Linked DNA regions of Arabidopsis thaliana. The protein of the gene in region 4 purifies or fractionates together with the protein of the main gene of each other region. This does not show direct contact. Each region holds a gene or a part of one and is shown on either strand. Other genes may lie near its edges.

Evidence for each region.
Region 1: the proteins of RbcX1 (region 4) and THI1 purify together in Arabidopsis thaliana (affinity purification with mass spectrometry, with the first as the bait; one study listed by BioGRID). This does not show direct contact.
Region 2: the proteins of RbcX1 (region 4) and ACC1 purify together in Arabidopsis thaliana (affinity purification with mass spectrometry, with the first as the bait; one study listed by BioGRID). This does not show direct contact.
Region 3: the proteins of RbcX1 (region 4) and rbcL purify together in Arabidopsis thaliana (affinity purification with mass spectrometry, with the first as the bait; one study listed by BioGRID). This does not show direct contact.

The regions. Positions count from the first base shown.
Region 1 is NC_003076.8:22,244,933-22,250,318, reverse strand, and holds THI1 (thiazole biosynthetic enzyme, chloroplast (ARA6) (THI1) (THI4)), read right to left. Parts: upstream 3,801-5,386; 5' UTR 3,686-3,800; coding exon 3,287-3,685; intron 3,164-3,286; coding exon 2,675-3,163; intron 2,590-2,674; coding exon 2,428-2,589; 3' UTR 1,987-2,427; downstream 1-1,986. Other genes in the region: AT5G54780 (Ypt/Rab-GAP domain of gyp1p superfamily protein), read left to right, coding at 1-20, 104-196, 280-402, 500-588, 689-794, 895-992, 1,103-1,366, 1,442-1,525 and 1 more; AT5G54760 (Translation initiation factor SUI1 family protein), read right to left, coding at 4,802-4,846, 4,941-4,994, 5,157-5,362. UniProt on the Arabidopsis thaliana protein: Involved in biosynthesis of the thiamine precursor thiazole. Catalyzes the conversion of NAD and glycine to adenosine diphosphate 5-(2-hydroxyethyl)-4-methylthiazole-2-carboxylic acid (ADT), an adenylated thiazole intermediate.
Region 2 is NC_003070.9:13,530,588-13,536,804, reverse strand, and holds the start of ACC1 (acetyl-CoA carboxylase 1), read right to left. Parts: upstream 3,638-6,217; 5' UTR 3,246-3,637; exon of another isoform or gene 2,907-3,245; intron 2,639-2,906; 5' UTR 2,610-2,638; coding exon 2,268-2,609; intron 2,117-2,267; coding exon 1,910-2,116; intron 1,824-1,909; coding exon 1,662-1,823; intron 1,581-1,661; coding exon 1,488-1,580; intron 1,355-1,487; coding exon 1,259-1,354; intron 1,079-1,258; coding exon 905-1,078; intron 812-904; coding exon 718-811; intron 623-717; coding exon 435-622; intron 353-434; coding exon 302-352; intron 228-301; coding exon 188-227; intron 100-187; coding exon 1-99. UniProt on the Arabidopsis thaliana protein: Multifunctional enzyme that catalyzes the carboxylation of acetyl-CoA, forming malonyl-CoA, which is used in the plastid for fatty acid synthesis and in the cytosol in various biosynthetic pathways including fatty acid elongation.
Region 3 is NC_000932.1:53,337-58,383, forward strand, and holds rbcL (ribulose-1,5-bisphosphate carboxylase/oxygenase large subunit), read left to right. Parts: upstream 1-1,621; coding exon 1,622-3,061; downstream 3,062-5,047. Other genes in the region: atpB (ATP synthase CF1 beta subunit), read right to left, coding at 1-820; accD (acetyl-CoA carboxylase beta subunit), read left to right, coding at 3,739-5,047. UniProt on the Arabidopsis thaliana protein: RuBisCO catalyzes two reactions: the carboxylation of D-ribulose 1,5-bisphosphate, the primary event in carbon dioxide fixation, as well as the oxidative fragmentation of the pentose substrate in the photorespiration process.
Region 4 is NC_003075.7:2,115,327-2,121,305, forward strand, and holds RbcX1 (Chaperonin-like RbcX protein), read right to left. Parts: upstream 3,292-5,979; 5' UTR 3,238-3,291; coding exon 3,087-3,237; intron 2,972-3,086; coding exon 2,877-2,971; intron 2,795-2,876; coding exon 2,677-2,794; intron 1,729-2,676; coding exon 1,712-1,728; intron 1,603-1,711; coding exon 1,540-1,602; intron 1,455-1,539; coding exon 1,374-1,454; 3' UTR 1,227-1,373; downstream 1-1,226. Other genes in the region: AT4G04320 (malonyl-CoA decarboxylase family protein), read left to right, coding at 1-8, 137-220, 312-487, 574-702, 787-859, 942-1,027, 1,115-1,199. UniProt on the Arabidopsis thaliana protein: Chaperone involved in RuBisCO assembly process.

The DNA.
Region 1 (5,386 bases), on a different chromosome or scaffold from region 4:
ACTACAAGAAACAAATTTAGGTAAAAATTTGTATCTTTTGCTCTAGGAAACAGTAGAACAAACACCTTTCACTAGAACTTATAATTTTTATGTTTTATCTCAGGTGCAAATGGTTCAGATTTCTTCAAAGATCTTGCAAGCCGTGGACCTTTGGACCAGAAAGTTATTCAATGGCTGTTAACACTTCACCAAATAGGTCTGTAATAACACTGCTTTGGTCACAACAGAGAGATAATTCAATATGTCATTGAATTGACTTGCGTAAACTCTTGTTTTCAGGTCTTGATGTAAATCGCACAGATAGGACTTTGGTATTCTATGAGAAAAAGGAGAACTTGTCTAAGCTTTGGGACATTCTAGCTCTTTACGCATGGATAGACAATGATGTTGGTTATTGCCAAGGTAAGCAGTTAAATATAAAGAAAGAACAGGGTTTATCCTTTGTTCAAGCCCTGATTGATTCTTATGTTTTGATCTATCTACTCTTTCTTCTGAGTAGGAATGAGTGATCTTTGTTCCCCTATGATTATGCTTCTTGAGGACGAAGCTGATGCTTTTTGGTGTTTCGAAAGATTGATGCGCCGATTGGTACTATACCTCTATGTTTTGTGTTCATATAAGTTTGTCTTGACTCTCTCTGTAATCAGATAATACTAAAGGTTTTTTATTCTTCTTTTGAACTTGAAAGCGAGGGAATTTTCGTGACACGGGGAGATCAGTTGGAGTCGAAGCACAGCTTACTCATTTGGCTTCAATCACTCAGATTATTGACCCCAAACTTCACCATCACTTAGGTATCTATTAAAGCTTTCTAACCTCACTTTTAGTATATAACTAATCGTCACTGGTTGAGCAAGAGAGATCTTGAAAGACATTATGGATCTTGAAATGCAGAGAAATTGGGTGGTGGTGACTATCTCTTTGCTATTCGAATGATAATGGTTCAGTTCCGAAGAGAATTCTCCTTTTGTGACTCCTTGTACCTTTGGGAGGTAACGTTCTTCTTCGTCTCTTTATAAACTTCACAAATCACAAACTCAGAAACATTGTTCTTTGACCGCACACTAATAAAGACTGATACGTACATGTATTCCTTGAGCAGATGATGTGGGCATTAGAGTACGACCCTGAAATGTATTCTCTATATGAGGAGCCTCAATTCGAGGGAGAGAGAATCGAAGGTTCCTCCAAAGGTAAACCAAAGTCGATAAACCAATGCGGGAAGTACGAGAGAGAGAACATGAAGAATGGAGGGAAAAGCGCGGAAGGTCCTTTGCCTATCTCTGTTTTCTTAGTGGCTAGTGTTTTGAAAGACAAGAGTTCTAAGTTAATGACCGAAGCTCGAGGACTTGATGACGTTGTAAAGGTAATGCAGAGAATTCAGAGCGGTTTTTATCTGTTTTACAAGTGAAGTCCTCTTTAATCTGTGTATTTTGCTCAGATCTTAAACGACATAACCGGAAACTTGGATGCTAAAAAAGCCTGTACTGGTGCAATGAAACTTCACAAGAAGTATCTTAAAAAGGTTTGCTTTATACTCTTATGAGTTTGTGTATGATCCTTCTTTAGCTATCTTATAACTCTCTGATTGTTCTGTTTTTGGTATTTCAGGCCAAGAAATAGCATTGCAGAAGATTCACGAGTAGTAGCGTTTTTGTATGTTTTTATACATATTTGATAACTCACAAAACCGGCGACAAAAAAGTGACTAACGATTCCTTGGGTGGCAAGAATTCTGAAGAAAAGAGCCCAATTTACACAACAACTTCTCGTTGTAAACTGTTCATACAAATCCACACATTTTGTAATATTTGTTTCACAAACCAAAACAAAAAAAAAGCACACAAAAGAATTATCATCGATGTCATTTCTAAACTCATTGTTGCACTTCTAAGTCGGATTATATATGTAAATAAGGATGGAGTATTTGAATTCCAGGTCAGACATCAGTATATATATATATATATATATGTTCATAAAAGAAATGTAAAAACTTTTTTCTTTCTATTTCACAGTTTTCCTCTGTTCTCTGAATCTAAAATCATAAAACTCTTCGTTCTTTCATCAGCAGAGAAACTATAGACATTGAATAGCTCTATCTATACATAATTTCTTCAAGGATAAGAATCAGAATTGAAGACAAGAATCCGACATCCAACACTAATCTCATCCCTCAAATTTAGACAGATTTTGTATTGCCAACGACAACGAGAAAGCTGCTTGTACTAGAGCCATAAAGAAGGAGAAGAACGAGAACATACGCATTACGAATGAACGGATACGATATTTTACACAGAAGTTCAGAAGAGAGAAACAAAGACACCAGAAAAGTTCAAGACATATTAAACACCTAAACTCCTTTTATTGCACTCCTTCAACATCCGAAGGATCAAGGGAAACTTTTCTTAACGTTAAAACCTTTTGATTTTAAGCATCTACGGTTTCAGCTGAATCTGCTGCGGCTAAGACCAGCTCCGGGCTTAGGTTTCCAACGAGAGTTCCGTCAATAGCATTCGGTAGCCCCAAAGCCTTAAGAGCAAGTTGTCCCGCCTTTTGTCCCGATATCATCATAGCACCAAAAGTTGGTCCCTACATCACCACAAACTAACTCAGGACATGATCTAACGAAAACTATGGATACCAAATCAAACATATATAGGTCAAGAATACTCACCATTCTCGGTGCACCATCGATCTCAGCAACTTCCATACCGGTAACAATCATACCAGGAACAACCTCTCTGGTCAACCTCACAATAGCGTCCTCAGCAGTGTTCATGTCCAAAGCTTTCATCCCAGGAACATGATCAATCATCCCAATACTCTTCAACCTCTTAACACCAGTAGCTCCAAAAGGACCATCATGACCACAAGAGCTAACCACAATCTTCGCTTCCATAACATTAGGGTCCATACACGATTGTGTGTGGTGGTTCTGAGCCACAAGAGCCCAGTTAGTCACCACACCACCAACTCTGTTTCCTTTCACAATCAAATCCTCAGCAGCCACAGCGTTGAAGAGCTTCACATTAGGACGAGCCAAAAGCTTGCTCATGATGGTTGATGTGAACAGAGCCGCGTGCTTAACCACAACGTAGGTGTCTTGCTCATCGTAAGCCACACCAATCTCGTCAAGGAACAAGTGAGCTGGTTTGCGAACAATCTACCATAAGCACAAGCAATCAATACTCATAATGATTCAATCTAAACCCTAATTCTCCATTAAAACAGAAACAGAACTCAAAACTTCAACAAAATCACACATGCAAATGAATCTAAATCTTACCATGGCGGAGAAAAGCTGACCACCGAGCCAAGCACCACCACCAGGACTAACAGATTGCTCAATAATGGCAACTTGAACATTAGGGTTCTTACTGATCTCATAAGCAGCAGATAAACCAGCAGATCCAGCACCAACGACGACGACATCAGTCTCAGCATAAGTGATCATATCCGTCATGTACCTTCTCGTCATCTCACGTGACACGATCGATTCCTTGATCGGGTCGAACGTGAAAGCGTTCAAGTCGTAACCAGCGGTTGTGGCGCGAACGGAGAAAGATCGTGGTTTGAGACCGATGGAGATAGGAGCTGCGGAGATGGCTGAGCCATGGAAGGAAGAATCGAAAAGTCTCTGAGGTTTGGTTGAAGAAAGAGAGAGAGTAGAAGCTATGGCAGCCATTTTTGTTTTTCTTTAGGGTTCGAGTTTAGTGATGCTGATGGTGAAGTGAAGAGTGGTTGTTGAGTATTTAAATTAGAAGAAGAAGAAAATCTGAAGATTGATGGCCACGTCAGAGATAAGGAATGAAGGGTTAGAGAATTTTTGATCTTTTTTTGTTATTTTAATTGTTTTTTGTATTATTAATATTTATCGTGATTATTTTAATTTTTAGCCATCAATGGAAAGTAACGATCTCCTTTCTTCACGGTTCTGATTGAATGAAGAAAAGACACTTCTCTTGAACAAGCCCAAATTTAGTAAAACCATCTCCAATGACTATGTCTATTTTTTTTTATTTTTTTTTTGGTCAAAAACTATCTCTATTTTTTTCCCCCATTTATGAAAGAAAAATACTTATATTATACATTGATTAAATGTATAAAATTAATGGCGAATTGATTACTGTTATAACTTCAAAGAATTGACTGAATCGGATTGCTCTATTTCTTGAAGAAAAGGGAAAAAACTTTGCAATTAATATTGTGATATGGATCAAAATAAATGTATAAAAAAATATCTCGAAGCTTTTATCTGGGAACATCTGTAGCCAGTTGCAGTGAGTGTGTGGTGACACGAACAACAAGAAGGTGAAATATCTTTGTACGATAGAGACGGCATTTGGACTTTACTAGTGACAGAGACAGTTCATTTATCATTATTTGTGTGCTTATGAATTATTATTACTAGTGAGAAGATACATCAGCCTTTTTGATCATTGAACTTTTTTGTGGTCCAAACTAAAACCTGCAATTTGGTATACTTGGAAAGTATCGACCGTATAAACTTCCGGTTGGTCCTTATATAATTTTAAAACTATGAACCATTGTAGAGAAAAATTATAACAAGTTAGAGCAGAATTATCTTAACAAACTGATATTATAAGATAAGTAAGATGTGAAACAGAGTAACACGAAAACAGGGGAAGAAGTATGGTGAACATAAGCCATTAAAATTCGAATACCAAACAGAAGAAGAACACTAGGAAGAAGACGATTTTGATGAATCAAACCCGAAATTCGCAACAAGAGATGAAAGAAAAAGATATGGTTTTATTAATAATATGATCCACTAGATAGCTTAGAAACCATGGATCTTGATGTTATCCTTCTTCACCAAACCAGCCTGTGATTACAGAGAAACAGTGAGATCAGACAATCATCTTACACAGTTTGTATGTTTTAGCAGTAAAGAGACTCGTAGAGTTATTGATATTTACCTGGACAAGGAATGTGGAGACGTTCTTACGTTGGTCACCTTGAAGCTGTATAACCTACAAATCAACACAAACCATAAACAAAACTAAAACAGAGAAGCTCAAATGTTCAGATAAGAGGCCAAATCATTCTGGTTTGTTCAAGCAGGCACTAACGACAGAAATATTATCATCCACTTTCCACTACATGGATCAATAGAGTGTTTTGATAAAACCTACCTGTCCGAGTTCTGAATCCTGAACCACAGTGCCGTTGCAGCAAAACTCTTTCTTGAGGTCCTTAAGTATCTTGGTATAGCTGTACTCTTTCTTCAGGCCCTGGACGGTTGTCAAGCTTTTCCTACCATTTCGCTGCTGGACACGGATATGAACGTATTCTTTTGTTCCGGCACCTGAGTCCTCAACATTCGCATCAGCAAACGGATCTGAAACAAGCAACAGCAAATTGA
Region 2 (6,217 bases), on a different chromosome or scaffold from region 4:
CGTTAGTCCTAATTTCTCCACGGATCTGAATTTCTTTTAGCCCAAGAACCATATTCGCTATCGCCAGGGCTCTGGATTCCCCAAATGCAAAAACATGTCCTGAATGGAAGATTAAAGAAAGTTTCAATTTTTGTAAACTCAAGAAAAGAACCTAGCAGCCCAAATACATTTATTTCATTCAACTTACCAAACTGGGAATCCGAGAACTCGTGGATGCCTCCACCAGACTGTAAAAAAGTAGTCGTAAAATTTAAAACATTGTGAAACACTTATATAGCAGAGTCTCTATAGATATAATTACCTTGACAGAGAAGTACGCCCACACATTTGGCTTGCTCTTAAAACTCAACTCCTGTTGCAAGTTCATACAAGTGTTACCCACAGAGTTCTCAGTGAATGAACTTTCACTTTGCATTCCACAGATATCACATTACCTGAACTCTACCGCTGGTTGGTTTGAACCCGTCATCAGGATCCTCACTTGTCACACGTACAGCCACACAATGACCTTTTGGCCTTATAGATTGAGCTTTATCAAAATCAAAAGGGAAGGCTACAACAGATGTTTTTCGCCAAGAATCATAACCTCCACCATGTTCTATTCCATAGAACCGTCTTATCTCTACGAAATTAAAGAGAAACAGACAGTACATTATTCGTGTGCATGGATAAAGAAGAGGAACCGCTGCCTGTAAGAAATAAGGACGTAGATTATACCAGGGATTTGCCAGAGAGGAATTCCCATCCCCACAGCAACTTGGGCAGCAGGAAGATTTATCTCGGCAATCCACTCAGTGACAGGATGCTCAACCTGACCTCAAACATCAAGTTAAACAAGTCATTCAATTTTCAAGTCCGGACCTTCAATATATTTCAACGCAAAAAGCTGCAGTATGAAACCAACCTGTAAGCGAGGGTTAAGCTCTAAGAAGTAGTACTCCCCAGTGTCCATACTGTAGAGATACTCAACAGTAGCAGCTCCAACATAGTTAACACTCTTAGCCAACCTTCTAGCTGCTTGTTCAAGTTTCTTGACAGTTTCTGGCGGAGCCACAGTAATTGGACCCTCCTCTATGATCTACGATACAAACGATAAAGTAAGAGCTCATGCAATAATTTGCAATCGCTAAAAGGGACTATAACTCAGTTGGAGAACAAAAATTGATGTATATAACTATATAAGAATAAATGGACAGAATGTTTTTCTATATAACCACTAACCAGACAATTAAAAATCCAGAATCAACCACTAACAAACCTTTTGATGTCTTCTCTGGACGCTACAATCACGGCTATGCAGAGCTGAAACATTTCCATGCTTGTCACAGAGCAGCTGGACCTCTAGATGCCGACTCTATACAAAAAAAAAATTAGAAAAAATGAAATGTAAAGAAAAGCAATGCATTACTACTTTAAATTCTCTAGTAAAGTAACCAGATAAGAACTCAGCTAAGCTTCGATCAAGAGATATAGTTAAGCAGCCATACCTGTGACGCAACCTTCATTATGAATATTGGTGAGCCTGGGACCTCACCCTGAACTTGCTTGAATAGAGCCCTAACCTCATCATCATTATGAACCTATAAATTTAAAACCAGAATAAGTACTTATATAGTAATCGGCTTAGTCCACAATCAAAAGGCATATCTACAGAAGCTGACCTTCCTGATTCCTTTACCACCACCACCCCACGATGCTTTGATCATTGCTGGGTAACCGACAACTTGACAGCTAGCAATCGCTTCTTCAGTTGTGTAGACACATGCTTGCCGGTAGATCTCCTCTGGGATGGTTACCAAGTTGCTATTAGGAGGTATTTTAACCTGAAAACATAGGAATTCAGTATATAAAAATGAAAATATATACCTCTGGTACACAAGCTAAGCTTAACAAGAGTAAATTTACTTACATGGGAACCACTCCATGGCAGAGTGGGTACATCAGCAGCTTGTGCAATCAACGAAGAACCAATCTTATCTCCCAGTGCTGCCATTGAAGATGCTGGAGGACCAAGAAATATGATTCCTTTTGCATCTAGGGCATCAGGTAATTCGGGGTTTTCAGATGCATGACCCCAACCAGGCCAAACTGCATCCACGCGTGTTACTTCAGCCATCTGCACACAGGTTGTAGACAAAGATGTTCAGATGAATGAAAAATAACTCCAAAGACCAAAACTTCATTGCTGAAATTGAGCTTAATACATGTGTTCTGTACAGTAAAACACGATAATTCAGATAATAGTAGTTCCCAAAAGTTGGATTCACCTCCACAATCAGCTGAACGTTAGCATAATTGTTATTGTTGGTTCCTCCGGGAACCTCAACAAACTGATCAGCGATTCTGATATGCTCCGCATTGATCCGCATGTCTTCAGGGGTTGCCATCCCCACCAACAATATGGCTTTTTCCGTACCAAATGTTTCATAAGCCCATGTTCTGACACTACGTATAAACTTCACAGCCGCCATTCCATTGTTAGCTATCAAAATACTATGGATCGGCCTTTTCCCTCTAAGTGCTTTACAGAACTCATCCACTTGAGACACCGTCTCATAATTTATACCAGGTCCTACAGCACTATGATTCCCGTTAACCGAGCCAGCCATTGTCACTGCCCTTTAAGCTTCAGATATATCTACAAAACAGCCATAAACACATACTGAATCACTTTACAAAGAAACTGATGCTATCTACCAAAATGACTTGAAAGAACATAACAGGAATATTAAAACAATTCCTAATCTGGTTGCTTAATCTAACAAACAAAGATGCTTCAGATTACAAGGTGGAATTAACAAAGATGACAGCAATGCTTTTGCGTAATCACATGAAGAAAAAAAGAGTATAGAAAAAGCAAAACGCAATCATAAGCAAAGATCTTGCAAGTAAGAAAGCATCATTACCCAATAATAATGAGTTCCTTTAGAAATCTGAGAGATCTCAGAACTAATGATTATAAACTCCCCAAACCCACTAAAATTCTACAATATTGAAGTCGAAAACTCAACAAAACCCAACTTCAACAACAAGTTAAAATCACAAAAACAAGTGCAAAATTCTCATTGCTAAACCATAAAAATCAAAACTTTAAAACACCCAAATAACAAAAACTCAACAAAACCCAACTCCAACAACAAGTAAAAAATCACAAAAACAAGTCCAAATTCCGATTGCTAAACCATAAAAATCAAAACTTTAAAACACCCAAATAACAAAATCAGCAAAAGCAGAAAACTTTAAACCTTGTAAGGAAGCAGAGATACAAATTGGCTTAAAGAGGCATCAGAGAAGGCCAGAATTGTGGGTGTTTAGCTAAAGAATAACAGAGAGGAGGACATGGAAGAGAATGAGGGAGAGAGAAAGGGTTTTAAGAGAGGGAAGAGAGAAGAGGGTAGGTTGGAGTTAGAAGAGGAGAAGGAAAGTGGGGTCAGAAGAGTTAATAATGGGAGATGATGAAGAGAGGAAGAAGATGAAGGAGAAGAAGAGAAGAGAGAGCACGTGGTCTCTGCCTCCGCCACACTCCACACCTCCATTGTTTTTTTTCGATCCCTTTTTGTTAGGAGGCGCCGTACTTGTTCCTCAGCTACCTCATTTCATCCCCCCACTCTTGTTTTTTCCGCTATATTATTTCCCAATGCTTCTCATTGTAGTATTATACAAAGTTTTATTTCAAGTTTTATTTCCAGTTTTAGAACCAAGTTTTTTTATTTACCAAAACAAAAAAAAAATTGAATACTGTAGAAATTTTATATGGAATTTGTGATTTTTTATAGACATCAAAACAATTTTTATTTCAGAGAGAAGATCTAGAGAATATGACAAGATTTAATCGATAAAACTTCGGTTTTTCGGTCATTTTCGAAGATTTCAATAATTTTTGCCAGTTTATTTTGCAGAAAAAAATATTTTTTATGTTGGCATATATAGTTTACAGAGATATATTATGTTATCAATTGTTTTTTGAATTTAGTTGCTAAATTTAGATGGATAATCTTCTAACCCGAACAAATCTATTGCATAGTATTATTATACAAAGTTTTATTTCAAGTTTTGGAAAAAAAAAAATTTTAACCAAACCAAAAATATATGATTACAGGAAATTTTATATGGAATTTGTGATTTTTTATAGACATCAGAATAATTTTTAATTTCAGAGAAAATCTAGAGAATATGATTAGATTTAATCGATAAAACTTAGGTTTTTCGGTTATCTCCGGAGATTTCAATATTTTTTGCCAGTTTAGTTTTTGGCATATATAATTTACCAATAGTTTCTTGAATTTAATTGCCAAATTTAAGTGGATAATCTTCAAACCCAAACAAATCTTTTGCATAGTTTTTCTAGGTTATATTTAAATTAATATATACCATTCTTAATGCTTTATATAAGATACATTTAACTTGTTGGAAACTTTTTTCTCAATATATTCGCAGGCCAAATCAAGAAATATTATTCCTTTACCATCTTTAGATTTATGTTCTCTTTAGCTAACTTCAATTTATGGTTATATACTTATGTTTTGTTCTTGTGTATATTTAAGACTATTAGAAAGTATCAAGAAAATGCTGATTTGAGTTTATTTCATAATTTTCTTATTTAAAAGTTTACTACATTTAGTTTACTACATAACTATCTCTTTTACATTTGTATCCGAACAAAGCAAATGATAGCAAAACATAGATTTGTGCCGAATAAAAGAAGAATGGTATAAATTTGTTAAGCAATGAAAGATATCTATTTTAAAATAGTATTAGGTAAGCCATGAAGAAGACAATAAATTTCTACCGTCTGTGTTAAATGAACTTCAAATACGTCACAAGAGGCCATAGCAAATGGATCGCATTGTATGAGATTTATTATTTCGTTTATTTGGTCGGTCTGTTTCCGTTTTAAAGAAAATATTTATTATTGTCTTAGGAATGTGTAATATAATAGATTAAAGCCAAGAGGAATTGTATTTGTGTACGTTGAGTCGTTGACACAAGGTTGGGTGGTTTAGGTTACCAACATTTTATTTTCCTCTTGCTTGTAAATTATGTGTTTCAAATGTTTTAATGTTTTGTTTCTCATTTAGTAGAACGTATATTGGACCAAGATCTAGATTAGTGTTGCACCCAAGTTCAAGTTAGTCATGTAAAATCAATTCATAGATTTTTACCAATTCTTCATCTATCTACCTCATACGCATGAGGTGGTCATCTCACAATAATATGCATGGCCATGTTAAGCTAAGGATAATAAAAACTTTTACCACATTCTAGACTATATCGTATATGTTAGTGTCTCAGATATGCTTTTACTTTATTTATCACGACTATAATTCATAAAAGCATATTGTATTGCAAACCATTCATATTTATAAAATCATTTATATGTTTCACCAAAAATCATTAATATACAGAAATCATCATTCATCACAACTCTTTGTCGATGGTTTTATATAAGAGGTATAATTTCATATGTATTGTTTAATTAATTAGCACATATGCATCTATCTCTTTGATTAGCTGATATATGATTTTAGGCAAATCATTTTCATACAATACAAGAAAAATGGTTGATTGCAGCACTTACATAGTATCACAAAAATAAACAATATCAATTTAAAAATTATTTATTAATAAATGATACAAACTATGTAGTTTAGCATCAATTATAACAATTGATGTTGTAATCGAGTAATTTGACATCGGTTCAGTAAAAGTGATAATATAGCGATAATTTTATACATAGAAATTTCGTTTTTAATAATGAGATATTTTTCTTTTTATTAGAAGTAACAAACCATAAAATCAATCATCAGATCGTTAAAATGTTTGACCAATAAAAAAGGTTATGTTAAAATCAACCATCAATTTTATTTTGTAGTGATAGAAATACATGCATTCAAGTTTCATGTTTCCAATATTAAATTCTTAACTATTTGTAGGAATAAAAAAATTAAAATATCAACAAAATAAATAATTCCACAGTTTAGTTTACAATAAAATAATTTAAAAATCGCAAAAAAACACAGTCAAATATGGTTCTTCATTTTGTTTGATTATTTAAAATAAGAATAAAAATGGTCTCATTAACAAAGAAATAATATTAATGGCTTAATAGTAACTATAAATGACTGGGGGTTGAGATATAGTTGAGAGTTAGGTATGGGTTTATATTGTATGGCAACCTTATCATCTTTCTCTCAATATTCTTTCCTCATTTTTGTTA
Region 3 (5,047 bases), on a different chromosome or scaffold from region 4:
TGTCGATAAATAGAAGTACGTCTTGCTCATTAACATCTCGGAAATATTCTGCCATAGTTAAGGCAGTCAGACCAACTCTCATACGAGCTCCTGGCGGTTCATTCATCTGACCATAAACTAGGGCCACTTTGGATTCCGCAAGATTTTGTTCATTAATGACTCCAGATTCTTTCATTTCCATGTAAAGATCATTTCCTTCACGAGTCCGTTCGCCTACTCCACCAAATACGGATACACCACCATGAGCTTTAGCAATGTTGTTGATCAATTCCATAATTAGTACTGTTTTACCCACGCCAGCCCCACCGAATAGTCCAATTTTTCCCCCACGACGATAAGGGGCCAAAAGATCTACTACTTTAATTCCTGTTTCAAAAATCGATAATTTTGTATCTAATTCTATAAAAGCAGGCGCGGATTTATGGATAGGAGATGTTGTGCGAGTATCGACAGGACCTAAATTATCAACGGGTTCCCCAAGCACGTTGAAAATTCGTCCTAGAGTCGCTCCGCCGACTGGAACACTTAGAGGATTTCCCATATCAACCACGTCCATTCCTCTCTTTAAACCCTCTGTCGCACTCATAGCTACAGCTCTAACTCGATTATTTCCTAATAATTGCTGTACTTCACAAGTCACATTAATTTCTTGACCAAGAGTATCTCGACCCTTAACCACCAGAGCATTGTAAATATTAGGCATTTTGCCCGGGGGGAAGGCTACATCCAGTACCGGACCAATGATTTGGGCGATACGTCCCAGGTTTTTTTTTTCACGTATCGAAACCTCTGGATTTGAAGTAGTAGGATTTGTTCTCATAATAAAAAAAATATGTTAAATTTTGTTACGAATTTTTTCGAATACAGAAAAAATCTTCGATAGCAAATTAATCGGTTAATTCAATAAAAAGTGGGAGTAAGCACTCGATTTCGTTGGTCCCACCCAAGCGGATGTGGAATTCAATTTTTTATTCATTCAATGAAGGAATAGTCATTTTCAAGCTCAACTAACTGAAACCTAGTTTTAAAATAAAAAATATATGAATAAAAAAATTTTTTGCGGAAAGTCTTTTATTTTTTTATCATAATAGGAATAGGCAAGCCTTTGTTTTATCTAGCGAATTCGAAACGGAACTTTAGTTATGATTCATTATTTCGATCTCATTAGCCTTTTTTTTCGTATTTTCATTTTAGCATATCCGGTTATGCGTCCCATTTATTCATCCCTTTAGCAACCCCCCCTTGTTTTTCATTTTCATGGATGAATTCCGCATATTGTCATATCTAGGATTTACATATACAACAGATATTACTGTCAAGAGTGATTTTATTAATATTTTAATTTTAATATTAAATATTTGGATTTATAAAAAGTCAAAGATTCAAAACTTGAAAAAGAAGTATTAGGTTGCGCTATACATATGAAAGAATATACAATAATGATGTATTTGGCGAATCAAATATCATGGTCTAATAAAGAATAATTCTGATTAGTTGATAATTTTGTGAAAGATTCCTGTGAAAAAGGTTAATTAAATCTATTCCTAATTTATGTCGAGTAGACCTTGTTGTTTTGTTTTATTGCAAGAATTCTAAATTCATGACTTGTAGGGAGGGACTTATGTCACCACAAACAGAGACTAAAGCAAGTGTTGGGTTCAAAGCTGGTGTTAAAGAGTATAAATTGACTTACTATACTCCTGAATATGAAACCAAGGATACTGATATCTTGGCAGCATTCCGAGTAACTCCTCAACCTGGAGTTCCACCTGAAGAAGCAGGGGCTGCGGTAGCTGCTGAATCTTCTACTGGTACATGGACAACTGTGTGGACCGATGGGCTTACCAGCCTTGATCGTTACAAAGGACGATGCTACCACATCGAGCCCGTTCCAGGAGAAGAAACTCAATTTATTGCGTATGTAGCTTATCCCTTAGACCTTTTTGAAGAAGGTTCGGTTACTAACATGTTTACCTCGATTGTGGGTAATGTATTTGGGTTCAAAGCCCTGGCTGCTCTACGTCTAGAGGATCTGCGAATCCCTCCTGCTTATACTAAAACTTTCCAAGGACCACCTCATGGTATCCAAGTTGAAAGAGATAAATTGAACAAGTATGGACGTCCCCTATTAGGATGTACTATTAAACCAAAATTGGGGTTATCCGCGAAAAACTATGGTAGAGCAGTTTATGAATGTCTACGTGGTGGACTTGATTTTACCAAAGATGATGAGAATGTGAACTCCCAACCATTTATGCGTTGGAGAGACCGTTTCTTATTTTGTGCCGAAGCTATTTATAAATCACAGGCTGAAACAGGTGAAATCAAAGGGCATTATTTGAATGCTACTGCGGGTACATGCGAAGAAATGATCAAAAGAGCTGTATTTGCCAGAGAATTGGGAGTTCCTATCGTAATGCATGACTACTTAACAGGGGGATTCACCGCAAATACTAGTTTGTCTCATTATTGCCGAGATAATGGCCTACTTCTTCACATCCACCGTGCAATGCACGCTGTTATTGATAGACAGAAGAATCATGGTATGCACTTCCGTGTACTAGCTAAAGCTTTACGTCTATCTGGTGGAGATCATATTCACGCGGGTACAGTAGTAGGTAAACTTGAAGGAGACAGGGAGTCAACTTTGGGCTTTGTTGATTTACTGCGCGATGATTATGTTGAAAAAGATCGAAGCCGCGGTATCTTTTTCACTCAAGATTGGGTCTCACTACCTGGTGTTCTGCCTGTGGCTTCAGGGGGTATTCACGTTTGGCATATGCCTGCTTTGACCGAGATCTTTGGAGATGATTCTGTACTACAATTCGGTGGAGGAACTTTAGGCCACCCTTGGGGAAATGCACCGGGTGCCGTAGCCAACCGAGTAGCTCTGGAAGCATGTGTACAAGCTCGTAATGAGGGACGTGATCTTGCAGTCGAGGGTAATGAAATTATCCGTGAAGCTTGCAAATGGAGTCCTGAACTAGCTGCTGCTTGTGAAGTATGGAAAGAGATCACATTTAACTTCCCAACCATCGATAAATTAGATGGCCAAGAGTAGATGAATTAGATTTAGTAATTCACGTTTGTTTTATTAGTTTAATTGCACTCGGCTCAATCTTTTTTTTACTAAAAAAGATTGAGCCGAGGTTATCTGTTGTATATACTATTTTTTTTGATAGATACATACTTAAATTTAGATAGAAAAAAAACTCTTCAATAAAAAAAAGAAGATTAAACACAACTACAATTTTGTTATTGTAGTGTTGTGTCCACAAGAAATCCTATACGAAACATGGATTCTTAATTCTTAGGAGTGTTATATTCTTTCGTGTCAGGGCTTGAACCAAGTATCCCCGCTTCTTCTACCCCATCCTGCATGTTGTCCTTTTCTTTTCATTCCGTATTGGAATAAAAAAAGTTTTTTTTTATATTAGTATACGAGATTTTACTAAAAAAGTTCTTAATATTCTTATATTCATAAGCGAAGAACAAATATTTCTTTTTTTTTTATGAGAATTTTACACAATATAAGAAAATCCTTCTTTTCATTTAGAATTAAAATTGATTCATTTCAATTACTTTACTTAATAATCTTAGCAATTGCATCGATATGTTTTGCTTACTCTGAATAGAAAATGAACTATTCAAAAAAATTTTGCATTTTTCAATTTTTTCATTGAATGACTATTCATCTATTGTTATTGTATTTTCATTTAAATAGAGGCCAGAAGCTCTATGGAAAAATCGTGGTTCAATTTTATGTTTTCTAAGGGAGAATTGGAATACAGAGGTGAGCTAAGTAAAGCAATGGATAGTTTTGCTCCTGGTGAAAAGACTACTATAAGTCAAGACCGTTTTATATATGATATGGATAAAAACTTTTATGGTTGGGATGAGCGTTCTAGTTATTCTTCTAGTTATTCCAATAATGTTGATCTTTTAGTTAGCTCCAAGGACATTCGCAATTTCATATCGGATGACACCTTTTTTGTTAGGGATAGTAATAAGAATAGTTATTCTATATTTTTTGATAAAAAAAAAAAAATTTTTGAGATTGACAATGATTTTAGTGACCTAGAAAAATTTTTTTATAGTTATTGTAGTTCTAGTTATCTAAATAATAGATCTAAAGGTGACAACGATCTGCACTATGATCCTTACATTAAGGATACTAAATATAATTGTACTAATCACATTAATAGTTGCATTGATTCTTATTTTCGTTCTTACATCTGTATTGATAATAACTTTTTAATCGATAGTAATAATTTTAATGAAAGTTACATTTATAATTTCATTTGTAGTGAAAGCGGAAAGATTCGTGAAAGTAAAAATTACAAGATAAGAACTAATAGGAATCGTAGTAATTTAATAAGTTCTAAGGATTTCGATATAACTCAAAACTACAATCAATTGTGGATTCAATGCGACAATTGTTATGGATTAATGTATAAGAAAGTCAAAATGAATGTTTGTGAACAATGTGGACATTATTTGAAAATGAGTAGTTCAGAAAGAATCGAGCTTTCGATTGATCCGGGTACTTGGAATCCTATGGATGAAGACATGGTCTCTGCGGATCCCATTAAATTTCATTCGAAGGAGGAACCTTATAAAAACCGTATTGACTCTGCGCAAAAAACTACAGGATTGACTGACGCTGTTCAAACAGGTACAGGTCAACTAAACGGTATTCCGGTAGCCCTTGGGGTTATGGATTTTCGGTTTATGGGGGGTAGTATGGGATCCGTAGTAGGCGAAAAAATAACTCGTTTGATCGAGTATGCTACCAATCAATGTTTACCTCTTATTTTAGTGTGTTCTTCCGGAGGAGCACGAATGCAAGAAGGAAGTTTAAGTTTGATGCAAATGGCTAAAATTTCTTCGGTTTTATGTGATTATCAATCAAGTAAAAAGTTATTCTATATATCAATTCTTACATCTCCTACTACCGGTGGAGTGACAGCTAGTTTTGGTATGTTGGGGGATATCATTATTGCCGAACCCTATGCCTATATTGCATTTGCGGGTAAAAGAGTAATTG
Region 4 (5,979 bases):
CAACTCAGGTATGTGCACACTCTTCCTTCATATCTGTAGTTCTTACATTTGTTCTCGTTGATTTTCACATTTTCTATTCATTTCGTGGTTCTGATGAAAGCTATGGCTTTATGACTTCTGTCTTATGTATTTGCAGCCTGGCTTAGCTGGGATAAACCTCGGAAAATTTCTGATCAAACGAGTGATTACGTTGGTGAAAAAAGACATGCCACATGTTTCTGTGAGTACTTTGACTAATTTGTATGCAAATCTTGTTACAGGTCTAAAAGTTTGTATCTGCTTGCTCAACAAAACTGTTCTTTTTGTTGCAGACATTTGCAACACTTAGCCCCATTCCTGGATTCATGCAATGGCTCCTCTCGAAGTTATCATCTCAGTCAAGATTTGCTGAAGATGAGCGTGGTACACAGAGCAATTCGCCTTCATCTACGTTTAGTGAGAAAGTATTACTACCAGAAGAGGAACATGCCCTCATGACTCTATCAGAGTAAGATTTTCTTCATGCCCTTATGTTCTTATCTGTTATATAGAAAATCAAGTTCAAGTCATCAACTCAGTGATCTTTTTATGCAGTGAATCTTCATCCGGTAGCAACGGTATGGAAGTTCTGTTGAATTTGCTATCAGTAAAGAACTGCGATTGGGCTACTTCGCCTCGCCTATTACCAGTTTTAGAACCTATTCTTATGCGGTTATGTGCTAGGTATGTTCATTCTTGGAGGAGATGTAATGGTTATATATGAATCATATAGGCATAACTTTCAATGGTCTTTCTTGATTTTGATAGGTACCTCTTGCAAGAGAAGAAGAGAGGAAAAGCTTTAGACTCTGTTGCTAACTTCCACTTGCAAAATGGAGCGGTAAGTCCAGTGAATGACGATAGGTTTTAGTTAATAGAGTGATTGAGATTGATAAGCTTTCATGTTTTGATACGTTACATAGATGGTTGAAAGAATAAATTGGATGGCGGATCGATCAGAGAAAGGTATTCGTCAAAGTGGAGGCATTATGGTAAACTATGTCTATAGGTAAAGTAAACTTTGTACTTTAAATTATTCAGCTACGAAGCTTTCATTTTTGTTGGTCCTAAACCCATCTTATTCGATTCATGACAGGTTAGAGAATATCGAAGACTATGCTCAATCGTATTTTGGGTCGGGCAAAATCCATGCCTCTCCCGGTATCCATTCCCGTCTCTAGGTAACTCCGCAAAGAAAATCGGGTTTTGATCGATTTGCAGGTAAAAAAAACTAAGGTATCAAAACCTGGGAGTAACATAGCACAATGGTATGTATATGTATGTACAAACGGTTTCAAGTGTGTATACTCTCAAGACTCTATATATATGAATGTGATTCGAAGAGATATTCGGTTTCACTTATCAGAATCGGTTTCGACATGGCTAGTCTCCAAGACGTACTCGCGCATGAGTCTTGTGTTGGAATCATCTACGTTCTGCATTTTCAAAAACACAAGATGCTTCATTACGTACTTGCATTCATATATGTACAACGAGAGAGAGAGATAGATAGAAGTGAACCTTGAAGGCGAGGCGCTTCATATTATCCCATTCGAAATCGTTTTTACAATAAGCAGACCGTACCTAAGCGGTAACAAACGGTTTCAAACCGTAAATACAAACGTAGAGATGAGAAAAGATGTAGAAGTGTTTTCGAAAATGTATTAAAGGAGAAAAGAAAAGCTTAGCTTACCTCTAAAATTCGAAGGGCTTGTTGCATTGGCCATGATACCAAAAAAAAAAAGCAAAGTTTTTAGTTTACTTATCTCATATCAAGTATATGTATACCTAAAAGATATACGAAACTTATGGATCTACAAAGTGATTTCGTTAGTAATCCGCAAATTGGTGGAATTGTATTTCGTCACGCAATTTTTGAAGTAGTTTTTCTTTACAAGAATTGCACAGATTAGTTGTGTTATACTGTTAGTTTTGTGCCTGAGCAAATTACCCGAACCAGATGTACCAAACCAAAACCGAAGTAAACAGAACCGATAACCAGAAACTAATTGAATGGATACAAAATTTTATAATCGAAATAACTGAAACCGAATGGATACCAACCGAAATATTTTGAGTAACCAAAAATATCTAAAATATAAATATATATTTACAAAAGTATTAGTTATTTCTAGACTAGATAATTAAAAATACTTGAGAATATATATAAAATAGTAAAAATATTCAAAAATAATAAAAAAAATATCTCAAAATATCCGAAAATATCCAAAAATATCCGAAAATAACCGAAATATCCAAAAATATTTAAAGCAAAATAACCGGATGGATACTAAATTTTAAAACCGAAATAATCGAAACCGAACCGAACTTTCAAATTAACCGAAGGGATACTAAACTTTAAAACAAAAAAAAAAACGATAAGCGAATGGATATAACTGAAACCGAATATATAAACCGAACTCCCATAACTAGTTATTTTAGTGAGAAGTTTCAACTTCCAATGTACGAAAAGAATGTTTGGAAAAAGTAAAGAGATTTCGTCTAAATTACTAGAAGAAAACCAAATTTGTTAAAAAAGTATAATGTATAACTTTAAGAACCTAGAATTAAAATTCCAACTAACAAGTTTCACAAAAAGAAAACGCATACTAGAATTTTATAACCAAATTATTGATATAAAGGTGTTATTTTTGGTACCTAAGTTCATGTGACGTGAAGAGCGACGCATGAGAGTGGCGCAGAATTTATCACCGTCACTTACAGAGTTTGTATCTAAAAATTCTCTCAACTCCATATAAGCCTCAGGATTATAACTCTGTCATTAATTAATATATAGATCATACTTATTATTAATCAAAACACCTAAATTAAAAAATCAAATAAATCGTCAAATCAACCTCAAGCTGAGCAGACACTATCCTCACTGCAACGTAAGTAAAGAAGTCATGAAGATGCTTCGCTGCCTTAGCCTCCGGTGAAGCTTCTCCAAAGCCTAATTCAATTATATAACAAAAAAAACATTAGAAAAATAGGCATTAATCTATATAGAACAATTCTGTATGAATAAAAACCACATTTTGTGATGAATATGTCATATTGTTACATACCGGGAACATACATCTTGTTAGAACAAATGCGAGTTTGTTTGCATTTTCGCGAACTCTGCATTAATGGATAAGAAACCAAAGGTCTTTTTCCAAATTTTGGATTAAGGTAAGAGAGGTAAGAGTGATGAAGGAGTGAAGAAGATGACTCCATAGAAATATTGGATGAAGAAAAATTGCAGGAGAGGCATATTGTTTTACTATTTGGTCGTATATAAGAGAATGTATTAGATTCACACATTAAAATATCTAGGATATGGATAAATAAATATCTTCTAGTTGGAAGTATATAGACAAAACATGTCTTATTTGTTTCAATATCTGGTATTGTAATATCAAATATATCAATTGGGTTTATTTATTTTTATCAATTTTAAGTATTTTTCTAATAAAACAATTTATCAAAAAAATATAATTACTCTTTGTTTCTTTTGTCAGTACTAGTTAATCGGTAAAATTTATTAACTAAATGTATGTATGGCATAATTGAAAAGAGTTGTGTTCAAATGGTTGTATACAATGAAAAAATTCGAAACTCTAGCTTTGAATGGTAATTCATTATCAAAGCTGGAAGTTGTACAGTTTTGATGGTTATACATTTACAAAACTTTTATCAAAAACGTTACAAATTTTTTTATTTTCAGTTTTATTGTACAGTTTTCTCGTACAGCTATTTTTACAGCTTTGCATTATTTCAAAAAATTTGAGAGTTAAAAATTTTGTACAGCTTTGTGTTACATGTTAGACATTTAGTATACATAGACAAGGAGAGGTAGATTATAGTTAAGTTTGGTATATTACTTATATCCTTCTGCTGTTATAATTCTAAAATTCAGTAAATTTAAGTGGATCATGATCGAACACCACACCTTTACCCACAAACGTTGGCCCATGATCATCACATATTGAAAAAAATTATATTGTTACACGTGTAAATACCTACGCCTAGTGATTCAAAGGTCAAAGTCAAAACGCTAAAATTAATGTTCTAATTTCTAGATCACATGCCATGCGCGTGTTAACACTGTTAAATTGTCCACACCACACGTGTGAAATGCTTATCTTATCTTCCTATATTAGATTCTTAGTGGTTCGTGTAACTCACTCACTTCTCACCGCGTGTTAATTATTTAACTAGCCGTTAGGCGTTAGTATTTCGACAGTGTGGCAACAACTGTTATAATAAATTCTCATTAAAACCAATTAATAGCTTCATGACCGAATTATTCCGATGAAAAGATAAAATAGTACTACATCTTTTTTTTTTTTTTTGTCATCAAATAGTACTACATCTGTTTGCATGTAAATTGTATAGTACTACATCAAATTCCTTGTATGTTCTTAGTTTGTTTTTGATACATTTAAAAGGGAATATATATATATATATGTAATTATACTAAGTTCTTAAGATATTCTATTCCCAAAATCTTGATTGGATGATTATTATTATTTTAAAATATTGATAAATTTTGACCATGTAATGGGTAAATTATGAAATGCCTTGGAATTTTACTATTCATCCTACTTTTATTATTATTATTTTTATGAAATATACATATCATTCAATAACATTCCTAATTTTAACATTACAAACCACAATCGTTTGTATCAAACAAAATAGAATGAAAAGGAGGCAAAATACAGATATTTAAAAATTTAGGTTAATTTCCAGAGAATAGATTTTGTGGAGGAGAAATACATGGCATATAGTTCACAGTACAACGTTATGTTTTACATCTAATAGCAACCACCAACATATGATCTCCATCTTCTACATATACATTTTCGCTGCCATTTTAACAAATAAATCTTCAAGTTGGAACTTATTTACAAGAAATGTTATTGACATTTATTATTATCAAATAATTAATATTCTTAATTATTAGCATTTACTTATCTAATATATATCCATCAATTCTAATTACTTTTAAAAAGGAAAAATGTTAGGATTTTATTAACATTATAATTTATTAAAGATAAATAATATAGTTATTTAAAATTTATAAAATATTTAGGATATTTACCGAAAAATGTTTAGAATATATATAATATATGAAATGTATTAAATTAAATAACCATTTCAAAAGAAAACTTTAAATTGAATTGAATTATAAATCTTTTAATAAAAATATTATTAGAACAAAAAAAAAAAAATAATGTTTAATTTACCGAACTAGATTAGATGGAGAGACGGATGTAGAATATTATAATGTATGACTTTTACAACAATTAAATAACCATTTGAAAGAAGATTTTTAAATTAATTTGAATTATATATCTTTTAAATTAAAGTATTATTAAAATAAAATAACAAAAACAAAATGTTTAATTTCAGTGAACGAGTTTAGATGGTAGGACAGATTTGGGTCGATTGTAATACGAGATGATATACCAAGAGTGAAATCTATTAGATATGTTTAGTTTCAGTGAACGAGATTACATGGTAGGACGAGTTTGAGTTGATAGTAATACGAGACGTTATACCATGGGTGAAATCCTAGATATAACAATCAAAATATAATTATATTATCTTAAAAACTTAACAAAATAAATATTATTAATAAAATAAACATAATTAAAATTTAAATTATTTAATAATAATCTAGATTTTAACTTAATGAACTGTACATTATTGTTCCTATATTTTTAAACAGTAAAAATCAAACATAGTAAGAGTTATACATTCAGAAAATACAAAACATTAAAGGCAAAAATGCTTAAAAAATCCCAAACAAATTTTAATTTGGAAGTTTAATACTCAATACTTTTGGATTGAAATAAAAATACATCACTTAATAAATTGTTGCCAAATAAAACACTGTATTTTAATTATTGGTCGAATCGGACATATAAGTTAACAGCCGTTAACAGGCTTAACAAATTAAATTTTTATTTG